Linked DNA regions of Oryzias latipes. The protein of the gene in region 3 binds, or shares a complex with, the protein of the main gene of each other region. Links are inferred from orthologs where the notes say so. Each region holds a gene or a part of one and is shown on either strand. Other genes may lie near its edges. The genes, in order: nelfa, nelfb and nelfcd.

What was found.
Region 1: the proteins of nelfcd (region 3) and nelfa are in contact, whole or in part, in a crystal structure (PDB 5L3X), measured with the Homo sapiens proteins. The link is inferred for Oryzias latipes from reciprocal best matches to the Homo sapiens genes NELFCD and NELFA. Residues at the interface, in XP_047296144.1 of Homo sapiens: Cys204, Gln205, Gln206, Leu207, Glu208, Phe210, Ser211, Leu214, Arg215, Leu218, Ala219, Ile221, Leu222, Asp223, Gly225, Glu226, Cys241, His242, Gly243, Glu244, His245, Thr246, Tyr247, Leu248, Phe249, Ala252, Met253, Ser255, Val256, Leu257; in NP_005654.4 of Homo sapiens: Leu23, Trp24, Ala25, Leu54, Leu58, Leu61, His62, Arg65, Pro88, Trp89, Met92, Val93, Ile96, Leu97, Phe100, Gly104, Ser105, Leu106, Leu108, Leu110, Asn116, Val117, Asp119, Ile120, Leu121, Glu123, Leu124, Arg125, Lys127, Val128.
Region 2: the proteins of nelfcd (region 3) and nelfb are in contact, whole or in part, in a crystal structure (PDB 8JJ6), measured with the Homo sapiens proteins. The link is inferred for Oryzias latipes from reciprocal best matches to the Homo sapiens genes NELFCD and NELFB. Residues at the interface, in XP_047296144.1 of Homo sapiens: Arg63, Ile66, Met67, Glu68, Pro69, Ile71, Phe72, Leu75, Ile89, Gln90, Leu92, Ser93, Tyr96, Thr97, Ala98, Val99, Ala100, Gln101, Thr102, Val103, Asn104, Leu105, Leu106, Trp109, Leu110, Gln112, Thr113, Gly114, Val115, Gln121; in NP_056271.3 of Homo sapiens: Met49, Leu53, Leu56, Val58, Ala59, Asn60, Gly61, Leu64, Lys65, Leu68, Thr69, Leu75, Ile78, Glu79, Phe81, Gln82, Glu84, Asn85, Gly86, Val87, Leu88, Leu89, Ser91, Leu92, Ser94, Ala95, Leu96, Pro97, Phe98, Leu99.

What each region holds. Positions count from the first base shown.
Region 1 is NC_019876.2:18,438,447-18,442,717, reverse strand, and holds the start of nelfa (negative elongation factor A), read right to left. Parts: upstream 2,915-4,271; 5' UTR 2,664-2,914; coding exon 2,454-2,663; intron 2,202-2,453; exon of another isoform or gene 2,044-2,201; intron 1,161-2,043; coding exon 989-1,160; intron 1-988. Other genes in the region: c18h4orf48 (neuropeptide-like protein C4orf48 homolog), read left to right, coding at 3,349-3,460, 3,807-3,895. UniProt on the Homo sapiens protein: Essential component of the NELF complex, a complex that negatively regulates the elongation of transcription by RNA polymerase II.
Region 2 is NC_019871.2:30,111,612-30,115,940, forward strand, and holds the start of nelfb (negative elongation factor B), read right to left. Parts: upstream 2,932-4,329; 5' UTR 2,772-2,931; coding exon 2,670-2,771; intron 1,975-2,669; coding exon 1,814-1,974; intron 1,736-1,813; coding exon 1,636-1,735; intron 625-1,635; coding exon 394-624; intron 1-393. UniProt on the Homo sapiens protein: Essential component of the NELF complex, a complex that negatively regulates the elongation of transcription by RNA polymerase II.
Region 3 is NC_019863.2:26,963,625-26,966,164, forward strand, and holds part of nelfcd (negative elongation factor C/D), read right to left. Parts: intron 2,536-2,540; coding exon 2,405-2,535; intron 1,336-2,404; coding exon 1,170-1,335; intron 1,098-1,169; coding exon 963-1,097; intron 794-962; coding exon 654-793; intron 1-653. UniProt on the Homo sapiens protein: Essential component of the NELF complex, a complex that negatively regulates the elongation of transcription by RNA polymerase II.

The DNA.
Region 1 (4,271 bases), on a different chromosome or scaffold from region 3:
CAGCAACATCTGTTTGAGTCTGGGAATTCCCTTAGACCTCAAACTCGCTGATGCATGAAGATGGTGAACTGGGTTTCAAACCTTCCACCTCATGTTTGGCAGCAAACTCAAAACTTAATGATAGGAAAAGATTTTTAAAAAAAAAAAAAAAAAAAAACATTGAATTTCTTTGAAATACTTTGCTCCAAACTAATTTGATCCTACTTTTTACCTTTCAGGACCCACTCTGATCATCTTTGATCCGTTTTAAAAGAGTTCATAGTGGCCTTGTATTTATGATTATGTTGTTCCTAGCCAGGATCCCCTTCTCCTGCTGCTGAGTGAAGCAGGGAGCTTGTGACCCGTCCAATGTATTGTTTACATCACAAATACAATCTTTTCCCACCAGCATTTTTTCGTTTTCTCCTGATTCAAAACAATTTCATTAAAGAAATACTCAGAAATGGAATTTTAAGTTGAATTTTCTTTATATTTCCTCCATCACTAGATAAATGCCACAAGAACAAGTTCAAAACAGCAAAAACACAATTTTCATCAGAGTGAGTCTTTACATTTCAACCATGGATATGTTTCTAATTTTTATAACAACATTTTAACCTAATAACACCTGACACAAATAAATAACTGACAAAGTTTATTTCTATGTAACTTGACACTAATAATAATGTAAAAATATTTTTTGTTTAAATAATATATAAAACACCAGAAATCCCATTAAATTTGGGCAATAACAAAACAAACTATAAGATTAAACTAACAAACTAACAAACTGTTCTGTTATAAATTTGATCAACATATCTCAGTATCATATGTATCAAATATAACAAATGTATGCTTTTAAACACAAAGAGAAATAAAATATAAAATATAATAAGAGCGCAGAGGAATCTTTCTTGGTAGTATTTGAATTTCAAATGTTTGCAAACATGTAAACAAGGTTAAAGACTCCAGCATCCCAATAAAAGTCAGGATGGCAGATTTTACCAACCTTTCTCCCTGAGCTCTCCTAAAATATCCTGCACATTTGGATTCTGCTCCTCTAAATCCAGATTGAGAGATCCCGTCTCTGGGAAGGATTTTAGAATATCTGCAACCATCAACACCCATGGCTCTGAATCCACCGTAGCCAGCTGGATGATCTCAGACAAGGCCTCCTTCATCTGGGCAAAACACAGAAGAATGACATTTGATTATCAAATTTCTCAAAAGATATAATTATAAAGATTTTTTCCCCCCCATCAGACAACACATCAAAAGACCACACCCTCCATATTCAATCAAGACGACTTAGTAGGGATAAAAATAATATTTTTCAAAAGATATTTGACATAAAGTCAGTCATGTTTTCCGGTGTTTACTTCAGTAATTTCAGTCCAAGTCCAATCATCTTTTGACTTAATTTAAAAGGATTCCAAGTGGTCTTTTGATTACGATTATACCGCTTTTAGTACATATTTAAAAAACTGTAATTGTCTGAAGAGTGCCAGGAGAAATTCACTTCTAAATTGTGGGCGGGTCTGCTGGTGCAGAGTAACCCCGCCCTCTTCTTGTTTAGCTTAGTTTATTGTTCTTGAACAATTAAAACTTTACAAGGTTGACGAGCAGATAAAATGAAATACATGTTGGAATTTTCAAAAAAAATGATAATTCTGCAAAGAATTTGAGTTTGTATCCCTTCCGCTAAGATAAAAATATACAATCGAGAACAAAATATTTTTCTGCACCGTACGTACTTTTTTAGGAAGGTACAAAAATGTATGTCTTCTAAAAATAAATAAAATAAAACAAAAAAACGACAACTAATTAGGTTTTTATTCTAGGTCGTAAGTAAAGCGATGACTTGGATACGAAAATTATTACATAAAAGCACCAATTGCCTTTACTGGATTCCCCATCACTGAAGCTAAGTCAGAGTTTGGCTCCGGTGAGACTGAGAGGTCCTGACGGGCGGCAGCAGCATGAGCAGCAGAGCAGCATAGCAGAGCAGGTGATATGTCGGACTCAGTGTTGGTTCCGCCCTCCGACCCAGCTAACGCTCCAGCAGCGTCCGTCCCACCACAATGTCTGAACGCCCGCCACCAGGCAAATGCTACCCACTGCCGCTGGGGAGCCGAAGTTAGTGTGGCGTTCAAAACTTTAGCTATGGAGCAGCTTCTCCCGACCCCAATTCAATTTTAGACCACTGCTGACTTGAAGCGAAGGTAAAAACTCACCGAAGATCAATGTACTGAACGAACCTGCGGTTTCTTTTTAGTAGTTACTGAGTTAGCCATAATTAGCTACTACATCCAAATTTCTTTATGTTATGTGTTTTTCTTTTGACATGTCTCTGAGATGCTCTCTGAGTACCTGCGAGATTTTTTTCTGCAACTAGTTGTGAACTAAACTACAACCCTACCTGTGTGAATAATAGCAGAGACTTTTCAAGCTAACCTCTAGCAGCAGCAACCCACCTCGTCAACGGTCCGCCGGGGAAGATGCAGCATCCCCAGGAGCAGTTTTAGCTTTACCGGCGGCGACAGACTGGAAAAGCATAGCCGTATATTGTCGATTACTGACACTGTGAGCAGGGAAGCAATACTCGGAGGTGTCCACAGCTCGTCTGTTGATCCTAGTTTGTTGTGAAGCCACAGGCCAGTGTCGCTGTCCTTCATCGACGCCATCTTGGAAAAAGAAGTGTTTTGAGTTCGGGCATTTTAGCAGGCTACCTAAGAAAACAGCTCGTAGGACCCCGCCCACAAGTGGGTGGTTACGTGTAACAGCTATGTTGATAACTAATGATCACCACATTAAATATTTTTCTATAAAATTGGCATCTCCGCCTTCTTTTCTGTCATTTCCAATGTACCCATACACTGTATAAAATGTTTACATTAAAAAAGTCTCATGTTTCCCTTTTTATTAACACAAAACAAGTCTATTTGCTTCTTTACTGGTTATACGTTTCTTGGTGTGGACAAATAAAAAAAAAAAAAAACTAAATATGTGTCGTTTATTCTGAAAAGCTTGAGGGAAATTCCGGTTTCATTACCAAAGCATAGCAAATTTTAGCCTGGCCAGACGCATGCGCACTTGGTGAATGTTCCTCAACCAGCGCTCGTTTGTCCTCACTGTGATTTCCAAACACCAGTAGCTGGTTGACTGCAGGTAAATAACACTGAGGTAATAATAATCTTTAGGTGACTTGTAAAAACGTGCCTGTTAAGATGGGGTGGGGGGGGGGGGGGGGGGAATTAACAACCTAACCATTACATATTTTGCTAATTAGTTTCCGGACGGCCTTGTAGATTTTTTATTTAAAAAAATGTTTCTTGCCTATCTTGATTCAGGGACCCGACGGCGTCATCAATGGCTTCCCGTGGCTATGCGCAAGCAGCCTTGGTTCTTCTGGCCGTGCAGCTCTTTTGCCTCGGTACCGCCGATGCAGATCAGGAGACGGGGACCGTTATCCCAGCCGAAAGTAGGTAACATTAGCCTATGGGGGTTCTTTCTTTTTATTACTTGAGATGGAATCGGTAATCTGTCAATGAAAACATTATGTTTGCTTATATATGGGTTTCATCCCCCAATGGGACCACACAGGCCTCTATTGTGTGTGTGTACATACATACATACATACATACATACATACATATATATACGTGTGTGTGTGTGGGTGTGTGTGTGTGGGGGTGTGTGTGTGTGTGTGTGTGTGTGTGTGTGTGTGTGTGTGTGTGTGCCTAAAGCCTAAAAAGATCAGTGTTTTTGGGGGGATGGGGGGTCCGACCTCCCTGCTGTGTGTTATTTCTTAGCTGTTGTGCTTTCAGGTCGCCCGTGTGTGGACTGTCATGCCTTTGAGTTCATGCAGAGAGCGCTTCAGGATCTAAAGAAGACAGCTTTCAACCTGGATGCCAGGGTCTGTGACTCCCCAGATTTCTAGAGCTTTGAGTACTAAATCCATAGTCTTAAGGCCCGTACACACCGGGACTAATATTCGCCAGGCGTTATTCGCCAGCATTTTTCGCCACGTTTTTTGTGTTCACACCCAGGCGATTTTCGCTGACGATGAGCCGAGCGAACATGCAATTTCATTCCCTGACATTAGATGGCGCTTAATGTAAACAGAAATACTCCTGTACACAAGGTGGCGCTGCGCAACTTTAGGCTTCTTAAAGTCGCTTTTCCCTCAGAAGAAGAGAGCAAGTATTTACGCGCTAGTCAGAATAATAAAAAGAAAACATGAATATTTCAAGCACCAGTAGCTCCAACTGGTGCTTCGTTCTGGGATATTT
Region 2 (4,329 bases), on a different chromosome or scaffold from region 3:
TCATTATTTCTCCGCGGCAGTGTAGACGCTACTTGCCGTCTGTCTTCTTTGCTGGTATGTGTGCTCAGAAAGGCAGTTTTGTGTTTGAGCGCCCCCAGGTTGTGTTTTACTGTAACTTCAGAAGCCCCAGACACGTGTGCAAAAGCGCCATTCTCATCTGTCGTCGCGTCAGACCAAAAAAACGAACCCGAGGCGCTTTTAAAAAAATGACGCTTTTACGCCTGGCGTTTTTTCGCGTCGGTGTGCACACTCACATTGGTGCCCTTTGTTTAGTCACAAGGCGTTAAACGTCGGCGAATATCGCGCGCGAAATTCGTCCCGGTGTGTACGGGCCTTTAAGGTGCATGTCTACTGTGAGAGACATCATCCGAAAAAAAAACAATAATCCCTCACCTCGCCTTGGCGTCGTGTTTTGGGAGAAGGGCTGAAGAAATTGTGCAGAATGGAGAGGTCACTGCTGAAGAGAGCTGCTTCTTTCTCCACGATGTACTGCTTTAGAAGGGGGGAGACCTCGTCCCCAAAAAGAGCCTGGTTGTCCTGCCAAATCTGCCTTTTGACCTCCACCGCACACACCTTGTACAGCTCTTTGTCCGCCATAACCAGCTTCAGTTTCTTTTCTGGCACCTACAGCAGAAAAAAACAATAATTAGCTAAAGCTTTTTTTGCCTTTTGCTAAAACATTTGGTTTTCCAAAGATATCAAATTAGATGAAGGAAACAAAGAAATTCCCTGGGAACCATGGAAATGGAAGACTTCAACTGAATGCACACAAGACAAGGATCAAGAATCAGGGTGCACCTTTTTAAAAGGACCTATATCATGAGAGATCAACTTTTTGAGCTTTTAAGTGTAATATAATGTTAATTCCTCACAAAAAAAAAAACCCCAACTTAGTATTTTGATCCATTCACACATTTCTGAGGATTCCTCTAAAAACACACTCTCTGAGCACCAGCCCCTCCAAACCCACGAAAACAAGTGGGTTCTGGCATTCATAGAATAAGTGAGGAACAGCCCCTTCCAGGAAGAGTCGGTGCTGCCAGCCCCCCCTCGGCTAACACACACACTCTCTCCTTGGAGCTAGCAATGTTTGGCAAAAACTGCTTCATTTTAAATGCACAATGTGCACATCCATCTTTGAAAAAGTTTGAATGTTGTTTATTTTCGTGGATGAAACTCAGACACACTGCCGACGCCAAATCTAGGCGGACGTCATGAAATGGGCGGCACCCACAAGGAGCAAAAGGCGGAGCCTCAGAGATCGAGTCCTCTCTCTTCCGGGTAGGAAAAGGAGCGGTGAAAATGACTAATATTTCATAAATGTTTGTTCTTTCATGGGCCAAAGGTAATATATTTTCATATATATGGAAATAGTTCACTTGAAAGGCTTTAGAATAGCATTAGATGGGCCCTTTTAAAGAGACTATTTTGTAATGCATGCATCATAGCAAACTATATCCAGTATTATCTGCATAGTTTAAAATATTGAGACAAATGTAGCTGTAAATGCTCCAGAATAAAAACAGAAAACTTACATTTATGAAGCTTTTCTATAATTAGTGTCCATGTATCCAATTTGTTTCGATAAGAAAATAATAGATATATTTATATTCCTCTTGTAGCATAATATTTTACCTTTGGCAGATGCTTCAGCACCTGCATCACCACCGGCTGAATGGACGGCATTTTCACAAGCGGAAAGCTCTTCTCCAGCAATTCCTCCAGCTTTCCATACCTGAAAAAAGGTACAACAACACTTCAGCATCCATTTACCTCGCTTCTACCAAAAAGCTAGTTTCTTTTGAAAACGTACCGATCTTCCTCCTTGCCATCTGCAATAACAGCAACTCGCTCCATCAACTTGTCACGGAGCTCGTCAAAGACAGACTGATGGAACTCTAACCGCGGAGTGCCGTGGAGGTCCAGGAAAGGAAGAGCAGACTGGAGTGTTGGCAACAGAATCCCATTTTCCATCTGTGATGACATGAGACATCAACAACTGGTGAGGGATTGTTGTAACCACCAAAAGAAATGCAAATGAACAATAATCTGGCCTCAATCGGTCAAAAGATTTTAATTTTATTTGGAGAAAACCCAAACCTAACTTGATAGCTTTGCACCAGCAGTGCTTGAAATGCACTTCTATGTCCTCCATCATGAGAAAAATGCTACAAGAACACGTTAAAAACACCCAAAACTCATTGGAGCCGCCACCAGTGTGTGAATGTGTGAGTGAATGTGTGAGTGAATGTGTGTGTGACTGGGTGAATGGGTCTGTGACTGTAAAGCGCTTTGTCCTTGTAGGAAGAAAGGCGCTATATAAGTATACGCCATTTACTTAAGGGCCAAATTTCAGATTTTTTAGTTTTTCTGATCAAAACCACACTCGCTTTTTTTTAATAGAATAAATATTTGTCTAATTTAGATTTAGAAAAAGGTTTTTCTCCAGACAGACATTTTCATAATTTTATTTTTGGTCTTCAAATATGAAACTCAGTCATTTTAGTTCTATATTTTGCTCTGAAGAAATGAAAACTTATCTAATCACAAAAAATGTTTAAAATGCAGAACAATGCAAGCTAACATAATGTGCAGTCGTCCCGCCAAGATAGAGAACCCGTCTATTCTCTATCTTGTGCTATTATTTTTTCGTTGTTGTTGTTGTTTACCTGAAACTGGTCGATGGCTTTCAGCGGCTCCGTACAGTTGGTGAGTGTTTCCTTCAGATCATCCCCGTTTGAAATGCCGAGCTCAGACAGCCCCGCGAACATTCTTATAATTTAATCAATACGAACCCCACAAATTCAATTTGTGCTAAAAACAGGTTCGTCTATTTTGGCTAAGTTGCAACAGTTTTGTTGGTGCCAAATTAAACGCACAGCTAAAGTCTGAACGGTTGTCTACGAATGTTGTAGCGCTGTAACAGGGCCGCCGGAAACACGGAACCTTATGAAACGTTCCGCTCTTTGTTTCCCGCTGTGGCTGCATTCACACGTACACCATGTTCAAGTAAAATTAAAAGAAACAAAGGCAATAATTCTTTTAGTTTGGCATTATAAGTCAATGTTTTATTTATTTTGATTACATATTACTTAGTTTTATTACTTTATATTGTTTTCAACTGCTGCTTAGACTTTGTTCTAGTTTTCTATTTGTAAAATGCCATGGTGCTTCATATTTTTGGATTTGAATGTTTCAAATGGAAAAAATGAGTAATTTTGAATTTTGTTAGCAAACAAACAAACAAAAAAGAATGTACACCATATTCCAGGGGTGTCTCGAATTTTTGCAAAGAGGGTTAAATTTGGTGTGCTTAAAAATGTAATGCGGGCATTTGGCCTGCCTTCTTTGAAACATTATAACGTTAAATAGAAATGAACTGTGTGATTTTTTATTTTTTTTTTGCAATTAAATACTTTTCATTTCCTCAAATGGACCAGAGCTTTATCTAAATACATTAGCCTTCACTCATCCGCAGATATAGTTTTGCAGAAATTTTTACGCCGGATGCTCTTCCTGACACAACCCTGTATTTTAACTGGGCTGTGGGCCGCCACAGGGCAGGGTGACCGAGATATTGGCCCCCTTGTAGCTATATAGGAAGGCAGTAGCGTCAAGTGTCTTACCTAAGTGAAAAACTGTTTTTATAGTCTATGCTAAGGACCCACACTGGATGAAGCTCATTGCGCCCCCTGGTTTCCCATGTCCCAGTCCTGTCCTCAGGGCTTTAACTAACCAAGCAAGAAAAAATAATTAAAAAATGTTTTTTTTTCTGCTGCTTCTCGCCTTGGTGGAAACACATTAATTGGGTTCTAAAGATGCTCTACCATTTGGTTGAGTAGGCAGTTACCTGAGCTTTAAATGCTCACTGTAAACTTCTAAATTTAAATCATGTGAAAAGGGGAAAAAACACAAATAGTTATCTTATTCAGAACTACAAACCACTGTGATTTTGATCACCGACACCAATAAATCCACTCCTCTTATTCGGCGCATGAGGCTCTAAAGGTCAAGTTGCTACAGGTTGTTGCCACAGGTTTAAAACGGCTAATAACGTAATTTAGCAAATCAAATTCAAGAAATTGTACTTCTTAGAAAGTGCTGAAGGTCTAATGATTTTATGGCAGGACCATGAAGGCGGGTGGAAATTTGAAAGTGGGCCACATTTGGCAGACTTTGGACACGCCTGCCATGTACCAAGGATACAGTGATTTACATGGTAAAATTTTGGTGTAAAAAAAATATTGGTCAAACTATATCAGTGGGACGGCCGTGGTGCAGCGGTAGGGCGGTCGACCCATGATCGCATATGTGCAGGTTCGATTCCCG
Region 3 (2,540 bases):
GATGCTGCCTTTAGCCAAAATCCAAAAACCTGTGTCGTTTTCTAGGACATAGTTTCTGCAGAGCAGCAGGAGTTTAGTAGAAATTCACATCTGTGTTGCAGATGGGATAGTTGGCGCGGGGCAACCCCGCCCCTTTTTCCCCTGACCCTTAACCGAGCTATCCGTTTACCAGTTCTGCCGCTAGCTTCCAGCCCCACACAACCCCAACCCAGCAAAAAGAAAAAAGCACTTTTTCAAACTGCATTTTTTCATCTGCTCCTGATTCACAACGATTTGAATAAAGAAATAATTAGAAATTCAAATTGGAGCTTAATTTTCTTAATGTATCATCAGAAAATGACCTGTTAAAAACCCCAAAAAACAGGATTTTTATCATGGTCGGTCTTCAAAGTAAATAACTGTTGTTTTATTTTGTGTGAAACAACAGAGTTGGAGATCTGAGAGCTTCAGCTAGCTCCTGATAACTTCAATAACATCATTTCCAATCAACAAATCAGCTCAATTTGTGCTGAACTGTGTCCCTTCTTCCTCTGTAGACGTGCACCTTTTTGGAGCTTCCAACTGAACATTCATGAGAACTAAAGTATTTGAAGCAGTTCTGTCTTTGAGCTCGTATTTTTTATATGTTTTACTGATTTGGATCCTCGTCTCACCGGATGCACTGGTACAAAGTGCCCAGCTCAGCCACCAGCTCTGTGGCTCCTTTGTTCTCGTTGCAGCACAGGTTGTGAACGGTCTCTATGGCTTTGGACGTGGACTTTAGCTCATCTTTGTTGATGTTGACCCGTTTGTTCTAGAATGGCAGGAAAATGTTAAAAGAACTTATCGAGGTGAATCAAAGCCATAAAAAACGCACATGAATTTTGCTTTTCATGAATAATCTACCAACAGCTGCCAACTATCCTGTAAAAAGTATCCTCTGCACCAAAAGCAGACGTAAATGATGTCAGCAAACTCTGTACCTTCTTCCACGTCTCCACCACACTGGCAGCATAAGCCAAGATGTGGATGTACTTGTGTTTGTGGTCCTGGTTGATTTTTGATCCGGGTTTAAAAAGCGATTGCATGAAAAGGTCTAAAAACGCCGGCACTCGGATCTAAAAACAAGAAGATCGTTTAAAATAACAGCATTTTATCGACACTACAAAAAAAGAAAAGTGATTCTTTACCAGTTCAACAGGAGGAGGGTCCATGCTGCTGAACATCTTAAAAAGAACTGTGATGTCAGCAGGATTCAGGGCTCCTTTGGACAGCATGGCACCTAAAGCTTGGCAGGCTCGAGGGTAGGCGGCTGCGGTTCCAAGTGCCAGGGTGATCTGGCTGGCATCGTGGCCTCTGCCATTAAAAACAAGAGACAAGAGTTCACATCCTGTTGGTCCAGATAGCATGTCGGGGAGTAAAACCTTAAACGGTGCATCTTTTTGAACGCATTCATCAATTTCTAGCTGCAAAATCAAAATAATTTTCCTCCCTCGAACCATGTTATAAAATTCACTTCTGAGCGGCACCTAAAGATGTCTCTAACAGTATAAGGCTTAAAGCAGGGGTCTGCAACCTTTAACTCCTCTAATGGGGTTCAGCAAGTGTCACAACTAAAACTTTGACAGACTTTTGCAAAAGGACCTGGCTGCAGACATCAACAGCCAGAAGACAAATGTCCGCTGATAAAACTTTCTTTTAACTGGCGACCCAAATAGTTATGTTTTTTTTTCTCAGTTTAAGCTTTAATAAAATGTTTTATTTTACAATTCTGAACACTTTTGGGTTTGGGAAAGTCCGCCTCCAGGCGTTTGTGTCCGGCGCCATTTCGTCCAGAGCCAGGTCGCAAATTTTCAGCACAGAATAAGTCTACCACAGAAAATGATTGAAAGTCGGTAAGAACAACCAGAACTGAGGAATATTTTCTATTTTTGAAGAAATTAAAGGATTTTAAGAGCACCATAGAGTTAAATATATATATATATATATATATATATTGGTCACTTAATTAGCGCTGATTTAATTTCACTTTGTTCGATTTACCGCAAACGGTAACATAAACTTTTTTTCTAAATCTCTGCTGGAATTACACTGCCCATTACTATATTTGCTGCCTTGACATGATCCTATGCGACACCTGGTATCTTTAATTTCAAAAGGAAGTCGCGCCAAAAATTATAAACCATTTCATAATCTGAAAAAAAGGCTATTTTCTCTTAATGATTATATCTTATTGAAGCCAAAAACAACAGTTTATTTATATTTACCATAACAGTAACAGCAACATAAATACAAATCTGTCTTATTTTCCTGAAAGTAAGACTTTATAGCTCCTAAAAAAATAAATAAATAAACCTTCCGGTCCGTTTTTTTAAGTGCTGCAGCCTGCAAACCCCTGGACTAAGCTCCATTGCTACGGGTGTACCTCTCGTGTGCAGCCCTTTGCACCTCTTGGCCGATCCTGCGAACAGCCGAACCGCCTTGTTCCTCCTGAGCGAGGATGGACATCATCGCCTGGGCAAAGAGGTAAGTGTGCTCGCCATGACACACCATTTTCTGCA